3 linked regions of the Nothobranchius furzeri genome follow. The protein of the gene in region 2 interacts with the protein of the main gene of each other region in a pairwise test. Links are inferred from orthologs where the notes say so. Each region holds a gene or a part of one and is shown on either strand. Other genes may lie near its edges.

Evidence for each region.
Region 1: the proteins of ngly1 (region 2) and rad23b interact in binary tests that used the Homo sapiens proteins (3 or more experiments, as listed by UniProt). The two-hybrid records come from large-scale screens. The link is inferred for Nothobranchius furzeri from reciprocal best matches to the Homo sapiens genes NGLY1 and RAD23B.
Region 3: the proteins of ngly1 (region 2) and trafd1 interact in binary tests that used the Homo sapiens proteins (3 or more experiments, as listed by UniProt). The two-hybrid records come from large-scale screens. The link is inferred for Nothobranchius furzeri from reciprocal best matches to the Homo sapiens genes NGLY1 and TRAFD1.

Annotation. Positions count from the first base shown.
Region 1 is NC_091746.1:57,624,939-57,628,592, reverse strand, and holds part of rad23b (UV excision repair protein RAD23 homolog B), read right to left. Parts: intron 2,782-3,654; coding exon 2,654-2,781; intron 2,408-2,653; coding exon 2,251-2,407; intron 2,139-2,250; coding exon 2,011-2,138; intron 1-2,010. UniProt on the Homo sapiens protein: Multiubiquitin chain receptor involved in modulation of proteasomal degradation. Binds to polyubiquitin chains.
Region 2 is NC_091751.1:24,890,827-24,893,797, reverse strand, and holds part of ngly1 (peptide-N(4)-(N-acetyl-beta-glucosaminyl)asparagine amidase), read right to left. Parts: intron 2,484-2,971; coding exon 2,321-2,483; intron 2,218-2,320; coding exon 1,998-2,217; intron 1,894-1,997; coding exon 1,772-1,893; intron 1,555-1,771; coding exon 1,409-1,554; intron 1,249-1,408; coding exon 1,138-1,248; intron 1,053-1,137; coding exon 873-1,052; intron 1-872. UniProt on the Homo sapiens protein: Specifically deglycosylates the denatured form of N-linked glycoproteins in the cytoplasm and assists their proteasome-mediated degradation. Cleaves the beta-aspartyl-glucosamine (GlcNAc) of the glycan and the amide side chain of Asn, converting Asn to Asp.
Region 3 is NC_091757.1:46,521,888-46,526,016, forward strand, and holds the start of trafd1 (TRAF-type zinc finger domain-containing protein 1), read right to left. Parts: upstream 2,809-4,129; 5' UTR 2,800-2,808; coding exon 2,659-2,799; intron 2,157-2,658; coding exon 2,101-2,156; intron 2,011-2,100; coding exon 1,875-2,010; intron 1,012-1,874; coding exon 958-1,011; intron 804-957; coding exon 368-803; intron 287-367; coding exon 1-286. UniProt on the Homo sapiens protein: Negative feedback regulator that controls excessive innate immune responses. Regulates both Toll-like receptor 4 (TLR4) and DDX58/RIG1-like helicases (RLH) pathways.

The sequences.
Region 1 (3,654 bases), on a different chromosome or scaffold from region 2:
ACACCGAATGTCTCAGTCATCCAGATGGTTCTCATCCACAAATTTCATTTATCCAGGATGTAATTTTGTCAGTGGAAAAACAGCTTTTTTGCATAATTGGTACTAAAATCAATAAAAGACACCTGTGACCAACGGGAATCTGACATCATCATGGCTGATCTGTGTCACTGGAGGATTTAACAGAGCGTGCTCCCTGGAGGGAACGTGTTCTCCGTGAGTGCTCTGATCTCAAATGCTCGGATTTGGGACCCTCTGTGGCGCTACAGACAAACCTCACAAAGCCGATCACAGTTCATATTTTATTTTACAACTATGAGAATCCCCCAGAACCTCCTCTGCTCCCCGATCAAACACGCCACGTTGCCAAGGTAACCAGACTGAATGACAGCTCAGAGGCTGCGCTCTCAGACAACATTTCCAAATAAAACTAAATCCAAACAGAACGACCCCTTAAATGTAAACGAGAACCTGTTACTCTACGACTGATTAAATCCATTTTGTAAATTTATTTCTGACAGGAACCTCTCCTCTGTCCCGACCGCGTAACCTCTGTAACTTGTTTGGTTCTTTTGTGCTTCGGCAGCCAGCGTTTCGATCTCGATCTTTTCTGGGAAAAAAAACCAAGGAATCCCCTCATGTGCTGAGGACGTAGCGTGACCAAATATGGTTCATTGAGGGCGTTTCTCGATGCAAATGGCTGTCAACAGGCACGAGCACCTGAGTACGCACAAGTGGGATTAATCAACAGCTGACTGCGGAGGAACATGCGTACGAGAGGCCACTACATGTTTCATAAACCAGATTTGGGCTGTTCGTACCAACATTCTAAATTCCATTCGTAGGATTGAATACAGGAACATTTCTACGAACGTTTGATAAATGAGGCCCAAGGTCTGACAAAAAGACACAGGCTAATCAGAATGCTCAACACGATGACCACGTCTGCCATTGTTGCATTGTTTTTTTAAGTTGCGTACTGATAACTTTGTGCTGCTCTTGGAACTCTGGAGTCCACCCGGCAACAACGTGTCCAGTTGCTCTAAAGGTCTGATCAAACCTGGACCAACGAGCTCGCAACGGATGAGCAACAGCAAAACATTTCAGTTCAGCTGCTCAGGAGCTCAACTAATTTTAATTCATGTGTTTGTGTCGTTGCTGCTCTCCAACGGTCTCTGAAAGGGATGAGGCTGCGGCTCAGGTGGAAGAGAAGGCTAGCATCAGCAGAGGCTGTCAGTTTAAATCTAGTGTCCCTGGGCAACCGTGTTGCCCCTGATCTACAACTCTGTGTGTGTGTGTGTGTGTGTGTGTGTGTGTGTGTGTGTGTGTGTGTGTGTGTGTGTGTGAGTGAGTGAGTGAGTGAGTGAGTGAGTGAGTGAGAGAGAGAGAGAGAGAGAGAGAGAGAGAGAGAGAGAGAGAGAGTTGATCAGCCTTTGTAAGCGTGGTTAAATCTCCGGCCTTTAATTGCACATTTTCTTCATCACACCCGTATTTTGCAGGTTCTATCATCTCAGGATCTATCTGAGCACTCGTTGCATTCGTCCTACAACAATGACACAGCACACGTTTATACTGTAAAGCAATAAGGCGAATCATGAATATGTGGCCAGTGTTGCACTAGTCTTCGGGGATATGACATCTTAAACCACACGGTGTGGTTTTGTGTGCTCCATGGCAAATATGTGCTCTGTGTGTATTTGCAAACACAGATTTTAAACATCTGCTTTCATCGTGGGACAGGAAGTGTCAGCAGGTGTGTGATTTCAGCATCGCAGCTCAGACGATTTAGAGACTGTTTAGTTTCAGCTGGATCAACTCTGAACCTCGGCTGAAGCTACGTTTTCAGAAGTATTCCCTTTAAAAGAAGGAAAATATCTGTTTTCTAAAAATAAAAATAAAAAAAAAGAGCGTCAGACAGGTAACAGGTGGTAAAAGTGATTTAGTAAATAAACTCCAAGTGTATTTAAATGATTTTATATCGTTCAGGCAGGACGAAATCTGTCGGTCCTTTACCTGCAGCAGCTCTGGGTTTTCCCTGCCGATCTCCTGCAGCAGAGCTGGAAGCAAGGCGGCGTTCTGCTGAATCAGTTGTCGCATGACGTGGAACTGAGGCTGATTTCTGAGGAAGCTCAAGGGGTTACCTGTTAGTGTGAGTCAAAGTGTCAAGCGGCGAGTGAAAGAGAGATTATTATGCAGATAAACGTTTATTAATGAAGGCTACTGTGTGTTTTAGGCAACAGAAAGCCTGTTTACCTCCTGCAGCACTTGGTGAAGAGCCAGTGCTGGCAGGGCCACTAATGCTGCCAGCAGGTGCAGCTGGAGCTCTGCTGGCTGGAGCTCCACTTGCTGGAGGTGAACCAGCAGCAGCGTCGGGTCCTGTTGCAGGGCCCTGATCTCTGCCCGGAACACCCTGTGGGAGGAGTCACGACTCATGCTGGTTTTAAATGTCACGCAGAATAAACAAGTAGCTCGAAGATGTTGTTGCCGCTTTAAATCTACCATAAAGTATGCATACCAAGATTAAGTCAAAGTGTTTAACAAGGTGCGTTTAGGTGAAGGTGTCTGTGATTATGAGAAGGAACAATTAGCTCCATCTTTCCCAAAGGTCACACAGCTGTGTGACCTTTTAAGGAGACTTTATCGGAGCTGTTCTTACCGAGAGCAGGTACTCCATGGCTCTGTCTGGGTTGTTAAAGCTCGCTCTCATTGCTGCCACCACCTGCTCTCTCTCATAGCCCATTAGCATCATCTCGTTCACCATGGTGTCATACGATGAGCCTGTCACTGCAGAGGCCATGAAACACACGCACGCACACGCACGCACACGCAAGCAAGCAAGCAAGCAAGCAAGCAAACACACACACACACACACACACACACACACACACACACACACACACACACACACACACACACACACACACTTAGTACCTTTTCTTTCCAAACCTTGTCACTATTAGCTTTTTCTGTTGGAGCTCGTTAAAAGACACATTTCTGGTAACTACTCACTTTAAAAGTGAAAAATTAAACTAACACTCTGTGAATGTAGGAATTACATTCTTAACATGTTCTCTACTATGGCACCCCATTAGTAAAGTATAGTATATAATAAATCGGTTAATTGATTAAAAGAGTGAATTACTCAATCAATCAATCAATCAAAGCTTTATTTATAAAGCGCCTTCCGCAACCCTGTCAGGAAGCCCAAAGCGCTGAACATGGTACAGTTGTAAGTAATTATACTGAATAAATCAACAATAAAAGAAATTCAAATTACAAAATACAAATTACAAAATACAAAATGGAAATTACAAGATAGATGAAACATTCCGGTAAAATACAAATGTGTGAAACACAATTGGATTGAGTGGATGGATTGAGTGTCCCAATGAAAACTGTGGAATGGATTCAACATAAAAGAGGGCCAAAATCAAACATGTTCTGGAAACGCCAAGGGGAGGAGGTGTGTTTTTAGGTGATTCTTAAAGACTGGCAGAGAAGGGGACAGCCTAACTGAGGGTGGCAACTGGTTCCAGAGTGACGGTGCTAGGACTGAGAAAGCCCGGTCCCCACGGGTACGACACCTAGACCGAGGGACAGCGAGCAGGCCTTGGTCAGAGGAGCGCAGAGCGCGTGATGGGGAATGTTTGTTCAGGA
Region 2 (2,971 bases):
TCTCAAACCGTATATAGTTATCATGCTGGTTTTGCTTGTAGGTAACAAGGACGTGACCGAGCTATAAATCACCGTCATTCGTGTGTGTGAAAGTGAAAGTGAAATGATAGTGCGCCCGCCCCCGGCGCGCGTGCGCCCGGTACATGTAATTTTTTATGCTTGATTTAAAACAACTAAACAACATGGGGACTTGTTTCTTATTTGTTAGATGCTGCAGCCAAATTTACATTTAAAAGTTTAACCTTCTCAATTTTGTTGTTTTTAAGTTCAGTCGGACTTTCTGCGATCTGTGTTGTTACTGCCCTTTGATCTGCATTCAGTAAAGTGTTATAAAAGAAGGCACGGCAATTTTTAACCTTTTTAAATGTGTAAACATTATGTTTAGATAGTACTGCAATAAAAAAGTGCTGCAATAATATCGCACACCGCAATATTAAGCCACCCTGAATCACCGCAGGGGGAATTCCTCAACCGCGACAGCCCTAGTAGATAAAACACCAGTGGTGGGCAAACTCAACACAGACCTGCTTCTGTGGTCTGTTTTACAAGTTTTAAGTTGTTCGAATGAAAAGTCTCTGCTGTGTGTGAAGGATTGATGAAAGCAGCCATGCACCGAGAAGACTGGGCTGAAAAGATAAATCCAGTCTTGTGAATTGCCTTCATGCAGGTTAGAAGTGTGCACAGTGATAGCTTGTGTCTGTGTGGTGCTGTGATAGAAATGGCTGGCAAAACATTTCTATGGAAAAAACATCACTTAACCCAATTAATTCAGAATTGTCCAAGTCTGCATCTCCACAAGAAAACGGATATTTGACCTTCCACTCAACATGGATGCAACCCGGTGAACGGTATACGTCTACTGAAATGTGTACCTGCGTCTCCCGCTCAGGTGTTTTGGTTTCCCCACGCGCTAGCCGCCAGGCCAAAGAACCAGAGTTACGCCCCCCCAGTTCTCCGGGTTTGGGTTTCTTCGGGGAAATGAACTCCACCAGCTCCACAAGCAACCTCTCTGTCAGCTTCTTCTTCTGGTCTGCTGTCAGGGACTGCTGTCGCTTCAATATCAGAACAGAACAGTCTTGCGTCAACGCCAAAGTGGCCTTTATACCATCACTTGGGTTAAAACGGGTTCAAACTTACTCCGACATTAAGCCCATTAATGGTGTGCAGCAGCCAAGCCTCCTGAACGCTAGTTCTTCTTGACAAAACCTCAGCGTGTTTGCAGGAATACCTCCATGTGACATCAACCACCTGCAGCACAGACACATTCACGTCGTAATCTCATCCGCATGACTATAAGAAATGACTGAACTGGTGTAAACTGCCTTGCTGTCACATTCTACATCACTAAGAGAAAAGCCTACTAATAGACACTACATAGAAGCAGCAGCGATGCTGACGTCTCACTGACCTGATCCTTGGAGAAAGCCAGAACATAGGCCAGTTTCTTCCCCCAGCCGACCTCGTACAGCAGTGGTTTATCACAGGCATTCTCACACGAGTCACAGTGCAGCCAGCGGCGCTGAGACACGGAGTAAACCTCCGTCCACACGTGGTCTGAAAACACAAAGAACGAGTCCGTCTGCCTCCATATGCACCATACGTGTGGTAAACAGCAGTTTAATAACACGACTGCATTTTTCTGACAAATCAAAGGTGTGTCAGACCAGGCCTGTGTGCCAAAGCAGCGTTCACACAGGAAACCCCTGCTGTGATGAGTACACGACACTGACGAGACACCCCCCGCAGGGTTGTCTCGGGTCATGTGACCTACCGGTGCTGTCCCAAACAAATCTGGCCTCAAGCCCAAGGGCTCTGCAGCACAGGGTGAAACAGTTGGCCCACTCCCCACAGCGCCCCCTCCTGGTTTCCAAAAGCTTCTCTGGGTTGTTATACCTGATAATAGTGAAAGCACAAACTCAAATTAAGCAACTCTCAAATGACACCAAATAAAATAAATCAGTCATAGCTGTAAAAGTTAGCACAGACATCACACACACCTGGGGAATCTGGTGGAGAGCAGGCAGTTCTGACAGTAGTGGTTCTCTACTCGCTGCGCTCCCCAGCAAAGGTCCTCAGCACTAGGGCTGAGGGGGCTGGCGTGCTGGGTGGGACCTTCACACTGGCTGCAGGGTAACTGATCCACCCAGGAGAAGAAATCATGCTTGAACCACCTGAGCAACTCCAGCACCAGGAAGTCTTCTATCCCAAGTTTACAGTCTGCAAACACGACAGCAGAGCCAGTCAGGTTCAAGTCTCATAACTGAAGGTGAACTCGAGTATGTTTTATGGCAGGTGAACAGACTGAGTGAGGCCACTTCACCTGAGTCGGCATCTTTCAGCTCCTTCAGCTTGTGTTGAGCAGCAGAACGCAGCTGCTGGTGAGGAATAACGCTTAGAGCTTTCTGCTGCAGCTCAGGCCTTTCATACCGCATCACGTGCTGGAAGTTCGACTGAAGAGTTGCAAAGAAACTCACACTGCTCCCCTGCATCACAGACAATAAAAAAGGCAAGTTCTCAAAGGTCCTTCCTAAAGAGGCTGATGTGTCCTAGAGGTGGTGATGTTCTCCACCTCCAGCTACATTCACTGACCCCACAGATGCACAGAGAAAACTTGGCTCTTTCCTAACAACATTCTCATCAGTAGATCATATTTCACCAAAAGCAGCATTAAAGCAACCCTAAAGAGCTTTTATCACTTGAAGCTATTGCTTTCAAAATGGTTTCAGTGGTTCTTGAGCCATAAACTTGACCAACTTCACATCGGACAGCACTATAAACCCTCTGCTGAGTAGAAACTGCACTTAAAGGGATACCAAGAAGTTTTGGCTTGCTTTTAGAATACCCTGCTGTTCGTTAGTAAAAGTGAAACTGATCTCCTCGTTGTGCGTTTGTCTTTTTAACACCCAACTGTGGAAATGTCTCCTTAGCCTTCATTAGTTTCTACAGGTGTAACTGTTAGCAGAGCTCAACA
Region 3 (4,129 bases), on a different chromosome or scaffold from region 2:
TGACTGCTGGCCTGGACAGCACTCGTGTTTGTCCCTCCACTGAAGACTGGATGGTTGTAGTTGGACTCAGAAAGTGAAGATTTTACAGATGTGTTGGACTTCTCGATCTTTTGGTCCCAGGGATCACGCCACACGTTCCCCTCAGCGCCTCCAGCCACTGAGTCTCCATCACACTGCAGGCTGAGAGCCAACATGTAGTCGAGACCTGATGAATCCTCGTCCTCTGTGCATGCGTTTGGTAGCCATGCTCTGCTGCTTCCACTCAGAAAATCACTCTGCTCCAAGACTAAAAAATATAATCACACAAACATTTCAGAAAATACAAGTTTACATGCCGACTGATACTCTTGAATTAAAACACACTCACAGCGGCTAAATGATGTTTTCTGAGAAGCATTCTTCCCGTCTCCAGAGGGCAGAAATCCTCTTGAAGGGTTGAAACCTGGGGGTTCAAATGGTTGAGGAAAGCATTGCTGTTCTGCTGCACTGATGTTATTATTTTTAAAACCTCTGTCTTGGGTTCTCAGGAGATTTCGGATGGAGTGTGTTTCAAGCCACGCATCTGAAGGTGGTTGCTCTGCTTGACTGCAACTCGTCTTGCTGTTGTTTCTCTCTTGGGGCGGTGTGAGGCTTCCACATATGACTGAGTGCACGGTTTGTTCTCGTAGCATCACGTTGCAATTGCATTGTGGGCAAGGCTCGGTGCGCGCTCCACAATAATCCTCGTGCTCTTTGGACTGACCGAAAACAAGCTCCAGTTCGCAGTACTGGCATGGGACGAGCCGCTGAAGACACTCAGAGCTCTGCAAAACAGACAGACAATAGAAATATGAAGGTTAAATAGAAGAAGCCAGTGTTTTACAGCTTCTTCCTGCAGTTAAATAACATTTTCCACAGTTTCCACAACCCTTTGGCTGAGTAGCAATATGGTATGTAGGACATTAATCTTCACTGTACCTGATGTACATCTAGAAAATTCTTCTCAATCTTCAATCCACACTTGCACATAATCTGAAGCAAAAGATTAAAAAAATGTTTGAAGTAACAAACTAGAGGTTGACCAATATTGTTTGTTCTATAACCAATGCCGATATGTAGGACACGGTCAGCCGATGGCCAATATGTACTGCCGATTTTCATGGCTGATATCCAGAAGATATCCACCTTATTTTCATACTAAAATGTTCCTAACAACATCAGTTGATGCACAAACCTTCTGAAGCTGAACCGGTTTATGAACTCTGAATTTAACTAAGTGCTCAATCTTAACTTTGTGCACTGCTCAGTGTTAAAAATAAAGTTAACTTAGAGCATTTATTATGCAGATGTTTTTAGTGAACGTAAAAACACATTTAAATTAAATTTTGCAACACCACGAGCTGCCCGAGGATGCGCCTAACTTTGAATCGGCTCTACTTAGGACAAATATCGGCCGATGCCAATACATTAAAAAAAACTGTAAATATTGGCCCGATATATCGGTCTTACCCCCTAGTAATAATCATACAGTTTCAGTATGATGTTGCTTTCTAATTAGTGGTTTTCATTGGAAATTAAGCTACTGTTGGCTTGATGGGTAATTCACGCAGAAAATTACTTGGGAAGTAAAAAAAATCTCAGATAAAATTCCCCATACTGTAAATGTATACAAGGCTACCCTATCAGGACTATTAGTGACTCTCAGAAAAAGACACAAAGAAAACATTTTTGTTAAATCCTTGTTTTTTTTTAAGGTTAAGACCTTCAGTAATAAATACAAACATGTCACATGTCGATGTATATTGTGATATTAATGTAAATTGGTTACATCATTAACATTATGATATTATTATATTCTATAACGTGAAGGTTTTAGATGTTTTGTTCAGATGTACCCGAGTGTGCTCTTGAATCTTGTGCTCCAGAAGATCTGAGTGAGGCACCGGCTCCTGGCACACGTCACAGAGGGCGATGTTTCTTCGACAGTGAATCTCATGGGTGGTAAAATTTGCCTCAGGAATGTCTCTCTTACTAAACAAAACAACAACAGATTTGATTTAAAACAAACATACATATAGGCTATGAAATACATTAATGATCATAAGATATAGTCATACTTACCAATTACCACAAAAGAGTGTGTTTTCATCTGCCATGACTGTCCTAAAGGCTGTAAACTAAAAAGCAGAATTATTAATCACACAAACCAGCTTTTCAGGGTAAACTGGTTTTAAAGAAGCTACGTTTAGTATTAGATAGTAATTAAACATTATTTGATGCTGCATCAGATGTGAAACGTTGAATCAGTTAATTCAGCTGTTTGTATTTAGTGTCAGAGCGCTAATGAGCTGCTTGTTTTAATTCATGGGAAAAATGCTCCGTGAGTGTACAATGCAGATGTCTGACTCAGCAAATGAAACTGCGCTTTCGCTTTACTCGATCATTATTTAAAAGGAATGTAACTAATGCTAGCAGATAGAAAACGGTCCATAATAAAGCGGTGATTCTTTGTTAGATGATCAACAAACACTTTAACGACTTCAGAGTTATAATAGCTTCATTGTCTTTAGCTAAAATCCAACAGTTAACAAAGCAGCAACAAAGCCGCTAAGCTAGCGAAACTGAAGGATTCGAGACTTCTTCCCACAAGAACACAAAATACGGTCATTTTGAGGTTACCAGTGGCCAAGTAGTAAATTTTAACAAACGACAGAAGACTTCCTGACGAGAACTCGAGTGGAAAAACTGTTCGTTCCTCGGTCTTTCCGCTAGAGAAAATCTAAACCCAGTGTATTGTCTTTCAGGGTGCAGCATTGGCATCAGAACAGTCAAACCAAACTTTATAACAACAATGTAAAATAATGTTAATGGGTTAAAAGACAATTGATTTGAATGTGAAGTTGTATCTAAAAATTACTCAGCCATGATTTTTAAAGAGTTTAAGATAAAATTTTCCTGTAAACCCTAACTCAGGGAAAAACAATTTGTCCACGCTCCAATTTGATTGGTTGGGTAAAAGCAGTGCGCCATGAAATGTTTCGGGTGATACCGATGCTCCCCAAATATTCGTTCCTCTAAAAATTTGTCATGATTATTCGAGAATGCTTTAAAATATACTTTACAGCTTAAAAATGCTGTAGTAATCTATACACAGTGTATATGATACTTTAATTTTTTAGGAACAAATAGCAAATTACTGCTGCCACTTCCCATTTTAAAGAACAATGTGTCAGCTTCATAGTCCTAGAAATCCAGAAAAAATATTTTTCTGAGATTTCCAAGTTACATTCTCCCCATCACAGAGTCTTATTTGAAACCATACTGCTTTTGGTGATCTTTTTTAGTAAAGCTTGTAAAAACTTTCTCAAGATTAAATGAGCCTGTGACTGAACCACCATCAGCTGAAGGTCTCCAGATGATGTAGTTTATGGGGGGCCACTTGTAAATTCATAATTTAACAGCAGTATTTATGGTTACATAGCCTATCATAAGGAAAAAATGGGAGTAAAATTTCAAAATTAAATTTTCAACATTTTATTCATGCATTTATAAATGTTAAAAGTTTCTAACAAAACATTTAGTTAGCAAGCAAAATATTTAGTTTTACAAACTAAATACTTAGGCCAGATCTAAATATTTAGTTTGTAAAATCATTATTTAATTTACTAACTAAATATTCAATTTGGAACTAAATGTTTAGTTTACAAACTAATTTTTTAGCTTCTAATTAAATATTTATCTTCCAAAATTAATATTTAGATCCCAGTTAAATATTGTTTTGGAGCTAAACCTAATATTGATTTTGCACAAATGTTATGATGTAAATATTTTTGGGGCAAATTAATATTTACACAAACACAAATGTTGGCGATTCTATGAGTTTTGCACTACTAGCTCTTAAAGCAGCTTTTGACACAATGGACTGAAATGATCAATGTCTGGAGTAGTGGAGCGGTTTAGATGGTTTATTTTTTGCTTTAGCCTTGTTGATCTTGTGTCATCCTCTGTTCCTTTCCTGTGGGGTACCACAAGGTTCAGTTTTAGGAGACCATTCCTTTCTCTCTATATCCTTACACCGCAGCAGGTCCCTGAGGTCCAGTGATCAAAGCCTACTGGTTGTGCAGCGCACCAGGCTAAAAACGAAAGATGA